Linked DNA regions of Styela clava. The main gene of each other region encodes a partner of the protein of the gene in region 2 in a complex. Links are inferred from orthologs where the notes say so. Each region holds a gene or a part of one and is shown on either strand. Other genes may lie near its edges.

Region 1 (11,802 bases), on a different chromosome or scaffold from region 2:
GATCGCATAATATATGTCTGCGAAAAACACAGTGTACTAGCACCAGATAAAAAGCAATATCAAACTGTACCACCCTGCCGCGCCAGACAAAAACAAATTCCAAATGTAGGATAGAATCGAGGCCATCCACCACCGACAAGGCCAGATGATACATAGGCATAGCCTCCGTGGCGTCGATCGTGCAGTATTGGCGATGTGTCCAGTCCCGAACAAAAACACGACCCCCATCTGCGTCATTTCCTGGCAATATACCCGAATCCCAATGGCAAAAATAGCGACAGAAAACAATAGTTATATATCACCAAAACCGCCATCTTCAAGACTGCCCCATCTCCACACGCACAACTTCAAAGCTTTTCAACTGAATTCGTCTACAGCAGCGATTCCCAAAGTCGGCAAAAACACTTTGTGACAATATAAATGATGCTTTACATGCAGATAAGCAAATTCAAGAAGCCTACTATTGGCGACGAATTAACCCACCATCAGTAAAGGAATTGGACCTTCTGGAGTATGTGCACCAAGATGGCGCACAACCTGAACATAGTATGTGTGCCAGGTTTGGGTTCAGGTTAGAGATGTACCGATACCACTTTTGTCGCCGATACCGATCCGATACCAGCTAAAAAAGCCGATACCAATACGCCGATATTCGAAAACGACCGATATTGCCGATACTATGTAATTATTACCTCAATTGTGCGGGGCAGACGGTTTAAAACAATAGTCTTTAAGCATTGTTAATAGTGCGCATTATTTCGGATCAAAAAAGAGAAATATCACATATTAATAAGAAGTAGATGTTTGGGATCCAAATGCGCAAATTGATTCAGATGCATTGAGCACTGACGCTAGTAATCTCGGCTCTTTATTAGAAAACTAGTAGGATTTGGCTACTGTTGGTGGTAAAATAAATAAATGTTTAGCCTACTTATCGCATGAAACTGATACATTGAGTAACGTGCGTAGGATTTTGTGCCAATATAACGTCGTATTTTAAATTATACACATCGGAACATCCACTAATATTCGATTGATATAATTCTTCATAATTACCATGTAATATTAAAAATTTTAATATAAAAATTCGGCAGCGAAAATACTCAAATTGATTGACCCAGTTTGACTGATAAATTGCTTAAAACACGTCAGCGGGTGTGGGGGCGTACAATGGCTCAAAAATAATTTCAAGGTTAGTATTCTAACCTATTTTTTAAAACATTCTGAATCATATTGAGAAGCTAAATATATCGGAAATATTGGTCTAAACTTAGCCGATACCGATACACTACCGATACTGAGAAATTGGCCGATGTTGCCGATACCGATACATCGGCACATCTCTAGTTCAGGTTAGCGACATCTTGGTGCACATACTTCAGGAGCACCAAGAAATTTTCTGATACTGTTTTGCATGAAAAGGCGCCGTCTGTAGTTATTGGACACGTTTAGTGGACATAACAATCGTTTTGTTTTTATGTTGTTCTTGTTCTTGTTGTTGTTCGACACTTTTTGGACACCTAGTGGAAATATTAAAAAGCCGCTTTTCTCTTTGATCACTGGACCAATTGCTTTGAAATTTTTAGTGGTTAAAGATGAAATTTTTCTCCAGAAGGCTATTACTTTTATTTATTTCAAATATTTCTGATAGCTCTGTAAGATTTGTTTTTGTTTGCTATGACGTCATCGAACGTTCTGCGGACATCGGACGCCATTTTGTGCCCTACTGTACTGCTTCGCTTGGTGTGAATATATTTGTAGAATGTGATCTGACGGTACGGTAAACCGTACTGTACTGCGAACAGACGTGTCCATATATTTGGGCGTAGCTCTCTTGTTTCATTGAGCAATGATAAAGTACAGAAACGAGTTGATTTTTCAGTCATAGTCATGAAGGCAGTAAATAAAATAAACGCGTGCTAAACACTCGCTCACTTAAATAATTATGCAATGAAAGTGATGAATGCATTTGAGCGCTTACTAGCCTTACTTCACACTGAAGTAAGATATGGCTTTCCATGGATATCTATCTGCCATACACCAGCAAGACGGGTATCGCTGCTCGATGACCAGCATTTGATTTTCGCGGAACTTGGAATGCCATTACTACGTTTACTCCTATTCAATGTTCGAACCAAGTGTATATTAAGTTTGGTGAAAAAATAAACTACTGACTGACTGATTTCACACCCTTTTGATACTGTTGTTGAATTCCAGCAGTTTACTTTCATGGAGAATAAATCAATCTGATAAAGATGGATTGGTTCCAATAACACTGTCTGGTTCCAATAATAGGCTCGTCGTGTATCAGTGAAATATGCCTGGACGAACATTTTTCCAATTCTAGTTTAGTATTATTCACGGACGTGGGATTCTTGAAAAGGAACATCAAATTGCAAAAAGATTTTGAACTCAAACAAATGTTCAGTGTTCCATAATAATTGTTCAGAATTAAACCAAATTAAAATACCCTCACGTGCGGGATCATGTAAAAAAAAATCCTTTAACAGCTCATACCTGTGCCATGACCGCGCTTCTAGATTACAAGAGTAACCGCATTTGACATCGTTGAAGAAACATAAGACCGTTTCTGACTAAAATGAAGCCGGATATTGATAAGCTAGCTGGTGACGTTTTATTTTGCTCACCCATCTCATTAGGCTAATGATGAATGGAGAATAAATTCATTTATGCTTATCAGTCAAAGGTGAAGCGAATGCGCTCTACTTTTACATAAAAATCACATTTATTTTGTGATGTGATAGTGGAAGTACACTCCAGCATTTACGGATGGCGCTGGTGGTGTCGCTGCCTGAAGACCTCTTGAGGTCCCTCGCGACTCCTGTCACACAATTTAAGTTAGTTTCCACTTGTATTTGTGATATTTTTTCATATATCATACCATGTTTAAATTGTGTTGACGAATAAATGATGATTGATTGGATGGCAAAGGTATAAGCAAAGAAGTGTGAATAAAATTTGTTAATATATGCTTTGGGGAATGGCAGCTGCTACGTAACAAAAATATAAAAAATCATTAATGAGCATATGGATTATTTATGCTACTTTAATATCCGGTTATTATATTTGTTTAATTTTGTCTGTACATTGTTTCATGCACGACGAAATAAATACAGTATCTGAATCTGTTAACCGTCACAATGCTATCCGGATATCAGGTAGCAAAATACATTTGGGTTAACCGGTTTCGGTATCCGGACAATTCAACCCCACATCAAACATGGAAAACAAACGACTGGTTAACTAATCAGACTAATGGGCGGTATTGCTGTATTGTTACGATATTTTATAGGCTACTCTACGTGCTGACCTGTGTCTTTGTCATCAACGTACCGGGTACCGGTACTGACGTAACGAATATTGTACGGTACCGGTATTGAAGTTCACAAATACCGATACCTACGGTATGTCATTAAGGGGTCTGGTATAGTTTAGTACCACATCCACTTCTAGTTGGCCTGGCTCAACAATTTTTGCATATGTCAATCCTAACCCCCACCTGACTACGTCACCGAAAAATTACGTCATTCCGACGTCACAGTGGCGTAATAAGGCCCACCGAAGTATGCGGATGGTCGTCCAAAACGCGCAGACGATAACCCGAAATCGAGCAAGCTATTTCTCTCGTTTTCTCGTCGCAACGATCACGATAGGAGAGAGATCGCCGGCCTTAACAAGTTCTTATCGGCGGCGCAGATGCCATTTCGGGCGATGGTAATTATACTTTGGCAATCCCTATGACGTGATGGTGACGTCGTAGTGACGTAATTTTTGGATGGCATAATCAGGTGAGGGTTAGGAGTAACATATGCAAAAATCGTTATGCTACGCCCACCGGAAGTACCGGCACTTGTGGTACTAAACTATACTAGACCCTCATTAAGTTATATGAACGATTCTTTAACGTACTAATATAATGTCATTACCCTAAAACTTACAAAATCATTGGATACTGGTGTTCCTTATTAAAACATAGGTCCGCTTCCTTAAGAATCATGTTGCAAACAGTATTCAGGTATTTTTTTTATTTAAGTCAGTAAGTAGCCTACATTTAAATAACTAGGGTCTCTGGGTTTACAAAATTGAATTATTTTTTAGGTCAATTTTAGAAGAAATGAGCGCTAGACTACGGTATAGGTTCGCTATTGTTTTGGAATGAAAATGTAAGTAAGTGTAGCTCCTCTGCATTTTGTTTGTCCGTTTGTTGATGTTTTGTTTCGTTCAGAGTGGCCAAAATAAAATTGATTGATTGATAGCTCTATGCAGCTATGAAACAGAAAATAAAAGTTCTCCGCCTAAATAAATTGAGTTCATTGAATGTATTTTTTCCAACAACATTATGCATTATTATTTTATCACAATTTATCCTTCAGTTATTTTAAATTTGTATTAAGTCAACGGTGATACGATATATTATACTAATGTAAATAGAATCAGATTCCAATCAAAATTAAATTTTTTAAAAACTTACATCTGTAATCCTTCCTTTAATTAAGATAAACATAATTTATTCCTAAATTGTCAAACTTAAATTGTCAGGAATATAAGATCATATATTGGGTTGCGGTTATTTGCGATAAAGTTCCGTCTTTGTTGTAAACTATTATTACAGTATTATTAACAATAAGAAACTTCTTCATTGCAGGCATAATTTTAATTCAGGGTATTTCAATATCATAATATTGATATTCAAATTTATTCTTCAAAAGTTATTATCGAAAAAAGATTGGAAATGGAATTACAACGAGGAAGCATCAGCACTAAACAACAATTAATGGCTCTTGTTGAAGACATTGATCTTATTACTCGGCAATTGTTTGAAACTCTTTCCCAACAGTCATCAAGGCAATCTTCAACCAGTCAAACTTTCAATTCTCAAAATGATGAAGCTATCCCACAAAAAATGAACGTGAATCAGCTTACTGATCTTTTGCTTCAAAAAAACAAAGATTTAGAAGAGAAAATGGCAATGGCACGCGACCAACAACAACTTCATCGTGATATCAAATTATACAAAGCTGAAATCGCACAAAAAAATAAAGAAATTGAGGTTTTACAAAAACACCTAAAAGATGCGGAACATCTTTTATCCACTGCTCTATACCAAGCCAAAGAAAAACTCAAATCGATCAGAAGAGCAAGAAAAGGTGCTGTTCCTTCTGAAGATATCATTAAATATGCTCACAAAATAAGCGCTGCATGTGCCACGGCAGCTCCATTAAATTGGGCGCCAGGTGACCCAAGACGACCCTATCCACAGGACATCGAAATGAGATGTGGTTGGCTGGGACAGATTAACAATATGACAGATGCAAATTCAACGATTAAGCCACCGCCGCAGTTAGGAACGGAAGGACTTTCTGTACCAAATTTAGTTGGTATGTCGCGATCTAATGATATACAACAACCACAATGGGGCAACCAATCAGCATCTGGTATGGACGGAAAATTTGGATATGGTCAAAAAGGAGATGAAGAGGTTGAAATAATGTCCTCTGATTCATCATCAAGTTCATCTTCGGATTCTAGTTTCGGGAATGATTAAATTATAGTATTGTCAGAATATTAGTTTTTAATATTTAAGGAATACTCACTGCCTGTTTTCTTTTTTAATTTCTGTTATTTCTTGAACTCTTTAACGCTGAAAATTGTTCCAAATTATATTATGCTGGTTGGAAAATGGAAAAGTTTTCAAAATACCAACAAATGTGTTCATTTGATGCAAAATTGTCATAATAATCCAAAGTGTAAAGGTGTTATGCAAACTGGTGTTTGAGATTTGTATTTTCATTCACGTATTGGTATTGATATGAAAACCAGAGTCTAAAACATTTATAATAAGATGCAGAGAACGTTGTAACGATGTTGTTTACTGCATAGAATAGCTTTGATGGTTTATCGAATCATTCAAATTGACAAAAATCATGTTTGAGTAAATTTGTTTTCTTTGTTACAGTCATCATTATGACTAATTGGAGAAGAATTTCAGAATAGATAACTTTTAATACGTGGGAGTGTTGGCCTAGTGTTTAAAGCATTAGGCCTAACTATGATGGCATCACAGAATAAAATTTCAGGTTCAAACCAAAGGCCACCCCCTCGCGCAGGTTTTAATAAATTGGGTAGGCAATACCAAACCGGAAGGATCCAGATTTTTCTAGAATAAGTTACAGTAGCTCCTTTCATATCAGTAGAAATGAATTTTTACTTTTAAAAGCTGTTATCTGTTTAATTTCTATTTGATGAAATATTTAAAATTTCATAAAAAATGCTATCTGGGGAACAACTAGATTAAGTATGTTGTTATACATAAATACCAATATTTGAAGTTTATTATTTTGATCCTAATACATGAAAGTTCGAATATAGAATATCCCTAATTTTTTAAAAGATTATTATTCAAATTAATTGAATGCTTGGGGTATATTAATATATGCAGTTGTTCCTAACCCCTTCTATCAGTGCATTTTTTCTGTTTTTTGTGCCAATTGTGACCGAAATGTAGCATGATGACACAATTTTACTGCCAAATCTGTTTGTCTGTTTAAAAATCAAACTTCATGGACTGAATTAGTTCTAAGATTTTGAAACAACTAAATATTCATAAATTGATTCTGAAGGATCGTAAATTTTTTTTTTCACTTTTACACCTTTGAGCAATTACTCTCTCTCACAGAGTATCATTTTTTTTGTTTCTTAGGTTTCTGTAATAAGACTTGTTTGTAATTGACCGTCTAATTTAACTGGGGATAATAGAGTAGAGTGTCAATTGATAAAAAAAATGGCTTCCAAGAGCAAACGTCCTCCTCCGTTGAAGCTTGGGATATCTGCTCCACCTCCAGCTGAGCCAGTGAAAAAGGGAGATATCACACAGTAAGTGAATTTCAAATTTTACACTAACAGTGAAAATAACAAAATATCCATTATGAAACCATTAAGTTGTCTAATGCAGGTTTTCCCAAATTAGGGTCCGCGAACCCCTGGAGTTCTGTGATGACTGCACAGGGGTTTGTAACGATATGGGAAAAGACTGTTCGATCTTCAATGATTGATTTGAATCGAAAAGTCATTGTATCTTTTTGGTTGGGTGTTGTAGACGGATATCCATTACTGTCGAAAAAGGCAATTAAAATTCTAGGCTATTGCCTTTTGCAATGAAATATATATGTGAGTCAGTATTTTAGCTCCTAACAATTTGATGCCAAATAACAGGTCGAGGAGTCACCTCATTCATCACATTAATGTCGTTTCTGTTGTAGTGTTGTAAATGAAATAATGTTCTTCCTTGTTGGCTAGGCACAAAAAATTATTCGGCATATGATATGGGTCTTTCAAAAGTAAGATTCACAATAGAGGTACGAGCCCCTTAAAGTTTGAGAAACTCTGGTCTTATGCATGAGTTGTATTATATTTTATATAATATTTTTGGCAACACCCTATCTTTAGCTTTTGAATATAATCATTTGATTCATAATCATTGATTTCTTTCAGGAACATTGTAAATAAAATTGGAAAAAGTATCGAAGAACTTGAAATTGACGATGTACAAAGAAAGAGATTAGATACTTTTCTGTCTCAGAAAAAGACGGTTTGTCACTTTCAGTTTCTCATTTAGTACTCTAGTTTTAATTTTTTTTTTAATATTTGCTCAAAGTAAGGTTATGAGAACTCACTCAAAAATCCTAGAGAATGATGGGCAAAGCTTAGGGTGACCTCTATAATGCTAAGAGCTATTGACACAATTTGTAAAATGGGTTTTTGGGCCATGGGCCAAAAATTTTGCCCACCCGGACAGGCAGGCCATCATGTAAGTGTTATATTTTATGAACAATATTTTCAGTGTTACGAAAGCAAAAGTGGAAAACAATAAACCTCGTGCCCAAACTAAACTTAATTGCAATTTCAACAAATTACTTATTTTTCAGCTGATGTATTAAAGTTTGGTTGTGGCCTCATCATGTGGGCCAAATTGATTTACCCAATGGGTCGGATTTGGCACAGTTTGCCCATGTCAGATATAGAATTATAATAAGAAATTCAACAGAAGTGCAGGAGAAAATTCGTAACTTTTTACCCAAGATATGTATCATTTTGAATGATTGAATTATTTTCCATTCATAATTGTTACATTTTTTAGGTCGGAATGTTGGACAGTGCTCAAAAAGTTGATTTTTTAGAGAAGGCTGAAATCGGTGTTGGAAATGGCGGAGTTGTTCATTTAGTACAGCATAAAGAATCTGGTCTGGAGATGGCACGAAAAGTATGATAAAAATTCCTATTGCTATCCCATTTTTTGTCACCGTGTATTTTTGGGTACTCCCGTAGTGTGTGTACCAGGTTAGGGTTAGGCCACAATTTAATTCCGATTTTCCCTAGTTTAGTTCTATTACGAGTTCGGGGACTGTCTGTGTTAGCCAAGTGAATATACCTCTGCCCATAAGCTTCCGTCCCTTTATACAACTTGGTGTAAAATAGGCGAACAAAATTACCTCCATATTGGTACACATAGGCTACTTCTGGAGCGCCAACTAAATCTGTATTATATTTTTGATGGGAAAATTAATGTTTGTTACACGCTATGTTAATTTATGTCATGCAATGATCTATTCATATAGTTTGGATCCATATTTTTTTATCTCTATATTTATGATTTCCATTTTATTTGCTGGAAAATAATATAAATAAAGTATTGTTTCAACTGATTTATTTGAATTATTATGAATCATCATTCTACTTTTATATTTCAGCTCATCCATTTAGAACTGAAACCAGCAGTACAAAATCAAATTATCAGAGAATTGCAAATTCTTCACGACTGCAAAAGCCCTTATATTGTTGGATTTTACGGAGCGTTTCATAATGACAGCGAAATCAGCATATGCATGGAAAATATGGTATGACGGAGTTGATTAAAATTGGACGTAAACTTGGATATTGTCATTTGTCAATATTGTTATTTTTTTGATTCGACATTTAATGGTATTGTTTTATTCATTTTAGGATGCCGGTTCCCTTGATCAAGTTCTGAAAAAAGCTGGAAAAATTCCTGAACCTATTCTAGGAAAAGTCAGCATTGCGGTAGGATAATATTTTTTGTAATAAATTTTATGTCCAAATTTTTTCCGAGAAACTCACTCAGTTATGTGGAACTCACTCGGTATTTCCTCACTCAGCTCATCAGTCAGTTTTTACTCAAATACAATTCTAAAACTTTAATAATGATTCATACTCTTAGTAGCACTTTAGTCGGTACCTTTGCTCAGGGATTAATTTCCTGTGAGTGAGTACGCATGATCCTGCTTTGAATAAATATTTTCTAAGGAGAAAACAATGCTACCATTTTCAATAAACCACACGGGATATTGTGAGGCTAATCTTTTTTTTAAAAGATAAGGATTAAATTTTCAGGTTTTCAAATAATATTGTATTGTTTCAAGTTGTAATTGTTGAGCTTTTAGATTGAAGAATCATCGACATATTTTGCTAATATTGAATCCAGGATTTATTTCTGAATGGCAAAAATAATCTGGATATTGAGACTCAAAATTTTTATATTAATTTAAAATATAATTATTACTTGTGTTAATTAGAATTGAAGTTTTCAATACCAGTGCTACAATTGTTTTCATTTAAGTAGAAAAAGCAGTTACTGATATTGCAATGTTCTCGCTGATTTTTCTTGTTAATATAACAATTTTTGATTGTTTCCAATCATATTTTATCAGGTACTTCACGGATTGAGATATTTAAGAGAAACACATAACATAATCCATAGAGGTTTGTGTTGTTTAATGTATGTTGTTTGCTAAGTTTCTGTTGAGTAATTGATTGAAAATATTACTTTCTTTTTCATAGTAATATAATATCACATATTTACATGGTTAGTCATTTTATAAGACGTCTTCACATTTCATAGCCCTTCATGAAGTTACAAGTCCATATTGACTATGGAACAGAGGAGTACATGCAGGATTGGGGCTAATCAAGTATGCCCTCTTAAATCAAAATTTCTGATTTTAGTCGAATATTACAATTTGTCCAGTGAATAATATGTTCCGCCTAAATTCCAAAATGAAGTAAATATTCTTTTTATTGATAGAAGTTTAAATAGAAAAACATGGGTGAATATGAATATAAACAATATAGGCATAGACCCCGGCATCGTTTGTCTCTGATGTTGCGGACTTGTGCTAATTGTAAGAAACACAATGGCACCTATTGTACCACTAATTAATTATTATCCATCCCACTGATGCGGACCAATTAATTTTGTAGGGCTTAACCCTGACATGGGCAAACCATGGCCCGCAGGCAAAATCCGACCTGTTGGGTGATTCATTCTGACCTGCCTGATGCAGCCATAAATTTCTGCTTCTAACCAATCTCACATGCACTACATAGTTATTGAAATATGTATGGTGCAACGTGCAATAGGCTTGTTATACTATGATTGTAATTGTAATACTTTCATGTTATGGATACGTCAACGATACTTCACTTTTTTTTTTTCTATCACTCGATTCGATTACATGCTTTTAACACCTTTTTGTGTCGCCTCGTGTGCGGTCACGCGCAGCCCTGAAGTTTCAATTTAGTGCCTAAAAAGTTTTGGTAACATCCGCATAACGCTCTCTTCTCGTTCTTTTTTGTTCGTATCTTACGCATTCTTGCCATGTGAAGTCTATCGGTTCTCAATGGTTTCTGAAAAATCTCCTACTGCATCCTTTTTATTTACCCTAATTCGTGAAGATTTATAGCTTATTTATTCCGTCACACTTACATGGCTCGTCAGTCTGGGTGGGCAAAATTTTAAGCTATTGTCATCTCTCTTCCTCAGTACCCCAAGTCTGGCAACTCCTTTCCACAGTCCTGAAATGATGCATAACAAAAGCAACAAAAGTGTTTTGTAGGCTCGGTTTTAAATACTTTTTTCATCTCATTTCAGATGTAAAACCATCGAATATTTTAGTCAACTCAAGAGGAGAGATAAAACTATGTGATTTTGGTGTCAGCGGACAACTTATTGATTCTATGGCTAACACCTTTGTTGGTACGAGGTCCTATATGTCAGTAAGTAAAAAATCTTATTATCCTAAAGGATAACTATTATCATAGTAGATATTTAGTACTTTATATTTACAATTTGATTATTTCTTAGTCTTTCCCAAATTTGTTCATTTTTACATATGGTCAAAAACATATGTTATCTGAGCAAATTTATGTCCATCAGATTGCAGGCATTTTAATATGGATTGGTGATTATTCTTGAAGAATTATTCATACGGTATATATTATACAATAAGATGTTTTAATATTTTTTAACTCGTTACAGCCTGAACGATTACAAGGAGCACCATATTCAGTATTGTCTGATATCTGGTCTCTTGGTTTATCATTGATCGAAATGGCGATGGGAAGATACCCTATACCTCCACCCACAAAGCGGGATATTGATGGCATGTTTGGACCCAACGCTGCAAGTAGGTGGACCCCAGTTCTGTTAATGCATTCAGTTATGTTATTTTTGTCCCTAAATAGCTTTGTAATGGTTGTCGATTCGATGGACTGCTATTCTTCATATGTGTTGGTGAATAATTTGATGAACAAAAACTTCTTTTTCCAGGTTTTGTACCGGATGCACCTCGGCCGATGGCTATATTTGAATTGCTTGACTACATTGTAAATGAGGTGAAGACAAATTTTTCTTTATTTGAAATTGTAATTATTATGTCTTTGTACTTCATTGAAGGCTCTCTGATGACTCAATCGAGTATTCTTTTT
Region 2 (11,298 bases):
ACAAATACTGTAATAATAAAAAGGTGGGCTTATCAATGAGGAGGCTATTTGGTAATTGATGATGAAGCATTTGTATTTGAGGACTGAGGTTCATCTATGTTTTTATTTATATTTGACGTTAAATTGTTGGAAATTATTAAAATTAGATGGCATTACACTTAATGTGTATTTGGGTTTGTTTTAGAAATCATACGTTTATTATTAATTTTTGTATAAAGATGAATTGTACTAAAAAAGCTACCGGTAATTAAATTAAACAAACAATTTTCCCTGAATCAGGCAAATCAGTAGTTCAAGTTTGATTCTACAAGAGCGATTTACGAAATATATTATACGATATACATAATACAAACTCAGCATATCTACTATTCAACTCAGAACCCCAGCGATTAGTTCACCCAAAGTCAACAGCTTTATTGCAAGTTTGCAACTTTGAATTAGTATTTTACAGTTAACTAGGTTGAATAGCTATTACGATCAACTCAACAGGATTGTAAATTTTGCGAGTTTAATTGAATTTCGAAAGCGCAAAAAAAAATAGTAAACCATGACCACCAATGATCAGCAGACAAAAACAAGATGGCTGTCGGCTCCTTTATTATCTGGTACATAATATAACCGACCAAAATAAAAAAATAGCTATAAAAAGTCTTTATTATATTTATATATTTAATATCTAAAAAAGAAAAAAAGAAATGGTCTATAATTTCAGATCGTTTCAATCATTTTATATCATCTGATGCTTGAGACCTATATATATATACCACACATATATCTGTATTGAGCCTATTAAAAACTTATTACCAGGCAAAACCATAATATTCTAATTACATATCTGAATGCTCAAGGGGAGATAACATCATGTAATTAGTGTTCTGTAAATCCCTAAAATATGGCTGTAATGAAGTATTATAAACTAATGCCTTTTGTTCTATAGCCTATCAAAGTAATGTTAATGTCTTGAGGCAATTATAAGCCTAGTGTTATAATTTCTACAGTATTATGATTGAGGAGATGTCATTGTTGGGGGTTGTAATTGTAAAAGTCAAAGATATAGAATTTATGGTCAAGCTTAATGACTAAATAGTACACTGCCTTCCCTCAAGAGAAAAAATATTTTGACAAACTGGTACAATGAAGTAATACAGTATTGGATTGGGCTAAAGATATCAATTCCTAAATCACTAATAGCAGATATCACAAATTTGCACAGCAACATCCCAACCATATTAACTTCATAGAAATTTTACACTACTATGATAATGTCAAAAATCAACATTATGTGTTTCGAATTACATCTTCTATGATACATCAAAATGTTTTGAAAGAACATTTATTGTTTGGTAGTAAATTTCATCATTTGTAAGCGCGATGATGTCTCACATTTAAATAAAATCTTACAAAATAACAGCAGATGATCCACACTCAACCTAATATCATCAGATTATCTAGCCAGATATAAATAATTTATGAATAAGAGGCAGTATCAGTAGCCCTATTATAACAAAAAATAATAAAACATGGTATATTTTGGGGTTTGAAATGAAACCTGCCTGGTGTCAGAGCATAGATACTATAATAATATACAACACAGCTGTCCGTCACAGGCAGCACAAATTTAGGTCTGTATGTTAAAAATAAATCCTTTAGCGCATTCCAAGGTGATCCTTCTTTTAATATTTGTCTGGGTAGCCATTACCAAATTAAATCCATCAGATTGATAAACATAACTCCTTTCAGAAATGTACTTAAAATGAGTATTCTTCATTAGTGTATATCTCATTTATCTATTTTTAGGACTTGATAGCTAGCAAGACCATAATATTATTCTGCATAATATTGATGAATCGCTATTCATTTCAGAGTCATATTATGTAGAACATCACACTTCAGACAGTTTCGAAATGCTACACAGACCGTTGGAAAATTTTACATTTTGCGGTTAATAGGACAACATATTTTGGATGAACCAGGCAAATATCAGAATGTATGTTTGTGAAAAGACCTCAAAATATATCAACACATTAACAATAGAGAGTTTGGATTTGAAACAAAATAGACCTACCTGCTTTGGGCTGTGAATTATTAGATGCCTCATCTTGTATGGAGTTTTTGAGGCCATTTTGAAAACCTTCGGCGGATTCTTTACACCATGAATCCCAATATACTCCTTCTGTATTATCTTGATTGTCTATGGCACATTCCACAAAAATATAATACTTGTTCAATTAAGGCTTAATAACAATTAATCATTTCACAAAAAGTATATGTGGGTTCAGCAGAAATTAAAACTATAGAGTTTCTCGTTTCATTCATGCTGCGTTTTTCATAAATAATGATACTATCGAACAATAATATTAGGAATTAATAACTTGATATGGAACAAAACTTTTATCCAATATTATAAATACAGGACGGGACAAAAAATGTATAGAGTTTCGGAAGTTTCTTTAAATTACCAAAATGGAATAACTAATATTCACCCTAAACATGATCCAAATTGATGGAAACTTAGTAGCATATATATATATATAAATGCGGGTCGGAAATAGAGTTTCAAAATTTCTTAAAAATACAATATTGAATTGAATTGACTGATAATCACCCTTAATTAACATGATCCATATTGATAGAATCTTACCCTTAAACTCTTTCAATTGACATAAAGCTGTCCACAATTTTCTTTTATCTTCAGAGTTACCTCCGCTCTCAAGCAAAATTGTTGAGACCTCATGTTCACCTTGTTCTAACAATGTTTCCACCGAGTTTATGTTTCTCATTAGTATCTAAAAACAAAATAAGTCGAAGAACGTTGAAAACATATCATAAAATCACGATTTCATACTAAATCATATAATAAATATAAAAAATAATATAAACATAAGTGGAAATCTTAAGTATGAAGAAATGTTATTTTTGCTTGTGGTAATGATTATTCCTTATAACGCCATATGGTGTAATTATCTTCATCAAATATTCAAAAATTACACGAGCATTGATCAGACCAGATTAGCCTGGAGAGCTAAAATTAACAACCAATGAAAAACCAATGGAGTTCATTAGTCAAACAATTCAATATTCTAGAATTTTACAGATAAACATTGAAGAACATTATTAAATATTTCCAAATTTTGCTTCATTCAATTTAATTTTCATTCTTCATTTCACAAAAAACCTATTTGCGTCAACGTCAAGCCTATGTTTTCTTTTTAAATTTAGTCCATTTTATCATCATACTCATATTTTTTTTATCTCTATACTCCTCAAACTGAATATACCTCATTAACATCTTTATTTATGCCAACAACAGTAAGCCATTGTGATAATGATGGGTACGTCTGAAAATCAACTGTCCAGTGTTTTTTTGGAACTTTGCATTTGGTTGTGAGCTGCCTCCAGAAATGTTTGATGAGTTTGCCCTAGATATAACATAATATAGACAATGTGTTAAAAATTAATATCAATTAACATAAAAATTTATACAAATTTCATCCTCAAAACATTGACAGGGAAGGAGGGAATTATTTTCACTTTATGATATTGAAAAATATGAAAATTCTTAAAACTGAATTAAAATCTGGTCTACATATGCCCGGAATGCCATAAACAGGGTAGGTTATGCCTGACCTAAGAGAGAATTTTCCTTGTGCTATAGTGTCTGCTTGAATATAGTCAATTCTATTTTATTAGAATGTATTCAGGAAAGTCTTTTTATTAAATTACACACGGTCTAAAATCTTGTAGTATGTAAAATGTAAAAAAAGACAGTCAAAAGATTTAGCAATGACTGAAAAAATTTGTTATATCATTGTCAATGCATTCAAATAAAGAAATTTTGAAGAAAAAAAAATTTACAAATTCCATTAATAATAAGTTACTAAATTAAAATAAATTGCATACTTCCAATAATCGAATCTCATCTTTTATAAATTCCTGGAGTCGCAAATCACGAAGTGCAACAAGTCGCTCGGACATAATATCTATCATACTTTGAATATCGACAAGAGCTTTGACTGCATTATCCGATTCAACAGCCCAATTTCGGGCCTTTGTTTCTGCCGGCATCATTAGGTCATTGAGGATATATCCCAAGACTGCCTATTCCAAATTTTATTTATCCGTTTCCATCCATAACTCATTTAATTGAAGAGTGAACGTAGTGAATACAAATTGTTATGCAGATGATATTACACAGTCATCAACATTAAGGTTTCAAAAACTCAGATATACAATTAACCAAAGATTACCCTAGAAAACTTGATTAAACAAACAACGAGACATTAGTAAGTACGACAGACTGTAACAGATTGAGCGACATAATCTCTTTCCAAAGAATCCCAATTTGCCCATGAACAGCCACCCCTTCTTTCGGGGACGTCTGGATATTGTTGTCTTTCAATAAGGACATCAGACGTCCTTCTTTGGTAATAAATTCATGTGTTTGTTTATTGAACCAAATGACGGGACATTCTTGGAATTTGAAAACTGTGCCTTACTGTTAGTTGTTTATTTACAAAATACCTATGACTGTATGAAGCCCAGTCAGCCAGTACTCTAAGATTTCATCAGTCAACTTCAAACAGCAATATATAATTTTTCGAAGTGAAATGAAAAATGATAATTAGACAACCAACTCAGACAAAAGAATTATCTTCAGATTTAGATTGTGTGCTTTATTAAAGTATTAGGGTAACTGCACAAGCATATAAACTTTAGCTTGTAAATATAAGTATATTTTGATTTTCCCGCAAAAAAATCATACACAAAACACAAACAATGAACAAATACAACATTCTGAGATTGGGAAAATCATGGAAACTGGCAAAACCTTTATAAAGGTTTAATACATGTAAATATAAATGTATACTTATACCTTCTTTAAGCCTGCTTAAATCAGTACGGTATGGCATAGTTTTCTGATTCCAAGAATGCATGCACATTGAAAGACATCACTGAGTGCACACCCTTCCTGGTCTGGGCCTCCATATCAACACAAAACCACCAAATTGCACTGCACGATAAACTAAAGGAAAGCGCAATCTAGACATACAAACATATCACAGTAGGTACCGGTACGGTACCGGTACGATGCCGGTAATAATGCTGTAATACAGTAATAGGCCTACTGCAGGGTTCGGGGCTTGCAGTCGTTTCAACCCACACAGGGTCGAGTGCGAGATGCACACCAGGAAACCCAACAACAACAACAACTTAGCAAAATACGGTATCCATATCTGAAAATATCCAATTGTGTCCAACAAATACACGAAACACGACGCTTCGTTCACAGACTAGCCTACGGTACTAGCCTACGGCGCGGCGGTGTGGCTCAACGGGCTAAGCGTTAGGAATACGCTCGCCACCGCACCTCTAATTACTCTGCGTGGGTTCGCAGGTTCGAATCCCATGCAGGGATGGTTATGTGCGAGAGGATTGCTGGACTCCTCGCCGTCGTTGGGTGGTTCACGTAACCGCTGGTAGGTTACGGCTTCCTCCACCACCAAGTCCATGCTTCCGAAAACAAACAATACAGTAAAAACTAGTCCCATACCCGACTTGAAATGGTAACCGGACGAGAGGCCGTGGTTCGCCATATGGATAAGCCGTCTTATCGGCTTTCCTCTCCCCCGGGGTAAATATGTAAATCCTATCCTATCCTACCGGTACCGAGTACTGTGAGTGTGACCTGTGTTTACGCGAACTGTAGTAGAACAGAACAGACTGGCCTTGTCAAACCTGAAATATGAAGGGTGAAGGAGGTCTGATCTAACGTAAGGTTGAAATAGTTCCACAATGTGGCTTCAATACTTGAATAAAATAAAAAAATATTTACTAAATCCCAATTTAGGATAAAAATCAGCATATCGATGAGACAAGGAATTGAAAAAAAAACATTAAAAAAAATCATCATCGACAGTAGAGGTCGCTTTTGTCCTTGTTTTATCATTTGTGTGTCGCATATTACTCACTTCTCCGGGTTATATTCACTTTGCTCCCGGGTTCAGTAGTTAAATCACGATTAGCAGTAAGATCTCTATGTCATTCAGGTCCTTTGACATGCTTAAAATTGTCTAATACGCTCAATCATATTTTATGCTTCTCTCCGATTGCTCGTGGATATGCACGAGTAGCCTAGGACATAGATTCAGATGTATTTTCATGTAGTACTGTGTAATGAATCATTCTATTCACTGTGATAAATGAATTGCCATCCTTGTACTTGTTCTGAGCGAACATGCTGAAACTAAATAACCTATTCACATATATTTCAATGTGGTACTGTGTAATGAATCATTTAATCAGTTGATAAATGGATTGCCATATTAATTTTTTTGCTAGAAGGCTATTACTTTTATTTATTTCAAAATTTTGCGTGAATTCTATGAAATTTGATATTTCGTCTAAAATTTTGCTGTATTATTTTTTATCCATGGGAACACGGATTTTAGTCAGTGTCATGACTGGCAGTACGTTTTGATTCTGCAAAATTCTTGCTACTGGAAATTCAGAACTTTTTTGAGGGTACCGGTAGCGTCAAAGGGTACCGGTAAGGACTGATTCGCTCTGGTCTAACGTGTCCATATATTTGTGCGTAGCTCTCTTGTATTTCATGTACGGTAGTATTGTGAAATGTGGATGTATATAATTTGCAATTATAAAATATATATCTATTTTGACAATTTTTATACCAAATCTTACGCGTCACACATTGAACGAAAAAATAAAGATGGAAAATTGTAGTTTATCTAAAGAATGCTTTCAAAATTTATTAAACAGTTTATCTGTAACATTGATTCATATATATTCAGTACTGCTGTAAGTTTAATTTTATATTGTTGTGCTTACGGCTTGACGTGCTGCTAAATTCTCATTCCAATGATTGCTCTGTGCACTTACAATTAAATTTATGTATATTGTCTCCATTTATGTATTTTACGTGGGGTGTAATAAAATCACTGGTGAAATTGTTTTTGTTTTTTAGACGTGGGACGGGAGCAGTAAATGGGTTGAGTGCACTGCAACTAACGGTATATTTGACACTTCGGAAGCTACGTTGAGGCGTCCCTACGTTGAGTTATGGGGTGGCATCGATGAGTTTCGCAAGGTATGTGGAATCACGTGAAAGTGTTAGAGCCCATAGGAGTTTGTCTAAACTTTAGACTCTAAAGTGGGGGTGGGCAAGCTTTTGTCGTTCGCAGGCCAAAATTGAAGTTGCAAGTCGCGTGCCGCACATATTTTTATAAAGTTAAAAACCGAGGGAATGACCAATGAATCACGTTTTTTCACACAGATTTCAGTTAAATTTCAAGCAGCGCGCGAAAACTGATGATTTGAATATTTTCTGCGCCATTAAACCATTTGCAATCAGCATCAACTTTTTCACGTTCTGTTGTCATTTGTCTAAGGATAATTATAATCAATTCATTTATCATTAAACGAGTGATTGTGAATTATATACTTTTTAGGATATAATATAATTTAGTGTCTCAAAACAAATTCTGTTACGTAAGAAATATAATCGTCAATACAGTTGTTTTGTTAATATAATTCAGTGAAGCGTCGCGGGCCGGATTATATTGTTCCGCGGGCCGGACCTGGCCCGTGGGCCATAGATTGCCGAACCCTGCTCTAAAGCATCGGCTAAACTTCCAATACGACTGGGAAGTGTCCACAGACATCCCCAGTTCCCCACTTATTGGAGTATGAGTTATGTATAGCGTTTCGATTAAAGCGTTAGAACTATGGGGGAATAGCTAAGACTTATTTCTTTGTGAAAGTACATATAGTAAACTATTTAGTCTGTGGTGAACTATAAATTTATTTTTACATTGTATAAAACTGTTCCAGAGTTCTTTCGCTGAACCTCTGGAAAAGCTCTACCGAACCCCAGGGCTTCGATTGCACCCAGGTTAAGAATCGATAATATAAGGCTAGAATTAACGTCGCAAAATAGTCAAATAGGATTATTTAGTTGCATTACAAACATGATGTGCCAGTCATGGCTTCGCCCAAAAATATGGAAAACGTTCCGGGAAGGTAGCCGACTGCTGATCTGGATATTATCAGGATTACTGGATTTAGGTACCACAACTATAGGAGATACCTACGGAGTTGGTGTATTATCCACATCTTCACAGATATCATTCTCATATAGCTCTTTAATTGCTTTTTCCACTTTAGCTCTGGTTTTAAATGGTACTCTTCTGTGTTTTTGATGTACTGGATCCACAGATTCATCGATGTTCAGCTTTAACTGGTATCCTTCGAGTTTTCCGACACCATGAAATATACTATCATACTCAGTATTTCCGGTCGGAAACCTTTTTGGTCAAAAGAGCCATAAAAGTACATATTTTTAATTACACTTCCGTGCGAGCCATATAGCATTTCTTCACTTTATCAGGTCATGTAGTCCTGATAGTTGTTTAGTAGACGCTAAACCGAAATTTAACAATTTTTGTTGAATTTTTTCCAATGGGAATCCCATGTGATGGGATGGGACAGGCATAATTGCTATGGGATGGGAATGGGACAAAAAATATGTCCCATGGTCAAGCCTGCTCATCACCCTTCTTTCGTTTAGGCAACTCCGTAGTATTTTAAAAACTAGCTTTGCTAGTCCGATCTAACAACAAATAGTCCGATCTGACAAATATGGTAACCAGTGCGTACAGACGGATGAAAAGCTTTTCTCTATTGCTCTACGACGCTATGGCTTTGTGATGTCACAAAATACGTTTCAGAATCCCCTAGTTTTGTCCCAATGCCTGTCTGGTAATTCTCTTATATAACATAGGCATGCGCTAGACGCGCGTTCTCAAACGTATTGGCAATTTCTGCAATATTTGGCTATAAAAGAGTTTGAAATCTCGTAACAAAAATAAACTTAGACTTGGAATATTAGATTTTTCTGGGAGCCATTTGCCGTCACCAAAAGAGCCATATATGGCTCGCGGGCCATGGGTTTCCGACCACTGCTGTAAATAAATCTGCTTGCGCTATGTGGAGGTCGTTTCTCGCTCATTAGTGTCCCCGTTTCTAATATTTATTCTCGAAGCGTGATGAATTTAGTTATGACCAGTTTTCATTGCCATGGTATATTAACCAAATTCGTCTACGTTTGCGTTATTTCGTTCAATGAAAATGACCGACAAAAGTGGGATAGGATTATATCTTGAAAGACAGTAAAAACGCAACCGCCGAACCAAAAATATGGGCTACTTGAAATTTGTAATCTGTATCCATTTCCAATATGTCATTATGCTTAGTAATTAAAATTTGTCTGAAGCACAGTTATTCGCGAGCGAACATGACTGTGAGTGCAAATGTACATAGGTGCAAAAAATGTAGGTGGGTGCGAGTATGTCTGGGAGTGCAAATATACCTGGGTGCAAATTTACGCCGGTGCACGTATCCGAGGGTGCAAATGCTCACGGTACAAATGTACGGCGGTGCAATTGTCCTTGGGTGCTTTGGGTGTTCGTGGGTAGTGTGCTGGTCGTTTCGAATCACTGATATGTCGAAACGGCTCTTTTTCTACCTTCGAAACAGATTCTATGGCGTCAAAGAAAATGCAAAGTTTAACTCGCAACTCCTCTACGGCCCATGGGCCGTAGCCACGGCCCATCGAATTGGGCCTCGGCCTATCTGGCTATGGGCCGCGGCTCATCAAGTTGTGTAAAGGGACTATTCACTTGGCTAACACAGTCCCCGAACTCGTAATAGAAATATAATGTGAAAAATCTGAACAACATTTTGTCCTAACCCTAACCTGGTACACATACTACAGGAGTATCCTTTTCTGTAGCTTGGTATTTTGCTTTATTTTTATATAAAGGCTTATGTGAGAAAAAAATTTGGTGGCATCCCGCGATTTTAAAATCTTGGTAAGTTAATTGAATTTTTCCTGATGGGGCCGCGGCCCATAGCTTTATTGGCCATGGCCCATGTGGCTCAATTAGATGGGCCGTGGCCCCGGCCCATGGGCCGTACAGGAGTCACCACACCTGCAGTAAATGTCCCGGGCAATGCAGTATGTCAGTCATGAATATTATTTATATTTGATATTAATGAATTTTCTTGTTTAAACGTGGGCACACTATTGGTCACTGCTTTGTCACTCACTTCAGAGTGAGAGAGAGTGTTATGTCATATTTATTATACAGAATTATGCAGCTGCAAATGTCCTGGGTTCAGTTTACGGGTGCATATGTACTCTCACCGATATATTACTTCAGTCCATTGTGTTGTTTGTTTTGGTTACATAAACACCACATAGGTGATATTTTGGTGTAGTTTTCTGTGTTTTTAGGTTCAGAGTAATATGTATCAAACGCGTTATTGATTGGATTGTTTTTATAGTTTGGTTTTGAAGACCTAGAATGATGAGGTAAACTGCATTTATCACCTCGTTGTCTGTATAATTTCCACTTCTGTTGCGTGTGAGTCAACTATTATCACACGCCCGATTAGAGAGCATTCTTGATAGTCTATCCCAGGGTGGTCCAAACACAGACCCGCGGGCCACATATGACCCGCCGCTTCATTATCTGGGGCCCGCGTCGAATTTGCGTGAGGATGAACAAAAAATCACATTTGGTGCTGTTTCGTCATAAAAATAACCAGATAAATCTTTTGACATACTGTTACCTCGTACATCACTAATGTCACTGAAATGAATAGTGTTATGGCTAGCTAAAGCAAATAGCAAAATTGAATAAGGTGTTTGGCTAGTCTAAATTATTGACTGGCTTTCTATTTTTTGGTCGGGAATATATGCTAACAAAATAAACTTCATAGAAAACTAAAAATCGAATGAGGAATCTATCAGCCTAAGTTGGCTATGCCTGATAATGACCGAACAATATAATTCCAGCCATGTGTTTTTTGCAACCAGCCTAAACAGTATTACAAAAAATGCTGCTTATATGTCAGAAAATTTAGTAATTGCACTTCTTTATCTCAAATTTGGTAAAATTCGGTAATCAATCTTCAGTTATTTGTAAGTTATATTGTAAACATGAGTTTGAAAAGAAAGCTGACCAATTCAAACAGATTTTTGACTGCCATGGATATGAGAGAGAAAATACCACAATGCTTGCTTGATATGTCTGCAAGTTGTGTCGACAATATAAGTCGGCATTCTTTCCATATGGCACTTTCTTCGTTATGAAGAGTTTGAAATCTTACACTAAATGTAAGATTTTTGCACGTTTTAGTGGGTTTTTTGACATGTTTACTTGATAAATGATGAATTATGATCAGTGTGTTATAGGACAATAAAATTGTTTGTTTTGT

The links.
Region 1: the proteins of uncharacterized protein LOC120329277 (region 2) and dual specificity mitogen-activated protein kinase kinase 1-like are in contact, whole or in part, in a cryo-EM structure (PDB 8BW9), measured with the Drosophila melanogaster proteins. The link is inferred for Styela clava from reciprocal best matches to the Drosophila melanogaster genes ksr and Dsor1. Residues at the interface, in NP_001287177.1 of Drosophila melanogaster: Gln767, Tyr828, Asp830, Met831, Gly832, Leu833, Gly834, Val835, His837, Arg849, Ala850, Leu851, Gln852, Asp888, Gln889, Pro890, Ala891, Glu892, Ser893, Ile895, Trp896, Gln897, Gly899, Arg900; in NP_511098.1 of Drosophila melanogaster: Gly98, Gly99, Lys123, Asp236, Met238, Ala239, Asn240, Ser241, Phe242, Val243, Gly244, Thr245, Ser247, Met249, Arg253, Leu254, Gln255, Gly256, Ala310, Met311, Ala312, Ile313, Phe314, Leu317, Asp318, Val321.

Annotation. Positions count from the first base shown.
Region 1 is NC_135264.1:5,106,193-5,117,994, forward strand, and holds the start of dual specificity mitogen-activated protein kinase kinase 1-like, read left to right. Parts: upstream 1-6,671; 5' UTR 6,672-6,802; coding exon 6,803-6,894; intron 6,895-7,512; coding exon 7,513-7,609; intron 7,610-8,158; coding exon 8,159-8,281; intron 8,282-8,768; coding exon 8,769-8,915; intron 8,916-9,021; coding exon 9,022-9,099; intron 9,100-9,746; coding exon 9,747-9,798; intron 9,799-10,966; coding exon 10,967-11,091; intron 11,092-11,353; coding exon 11,354-11,501; intron 11,502-11,644; coding exon 11,645-11,709; intron 11,710-11,802. Other genes in the region: mediator of RNA polymerase II transcription subunit 4-like, read left to right, coding at 4,754-5,566. UniProt on the Drosophila melanogaster protein: Required downstream of Raf in the sevenless (sev), torso (tor), and Drosophila EGF receptor homolog (DER) signal transduction pathways.
Region 2 is NC_135261.1:19,341,495-19,352,792, reverse strand, and holds the start of uncharacterized protein LOC120329277, read right to left. Parts: upstream 4,265-11,298; 5' UTR 4,069-4,264; coding exon 3,901-4,068; intron 3,420-3,900; coding exon 3,279-3,419; intron 2,787-3,278; coding exon 2,642-2,786; intron 2,192-2,641; coding exon 2,066-2,191; intron 1-2,065.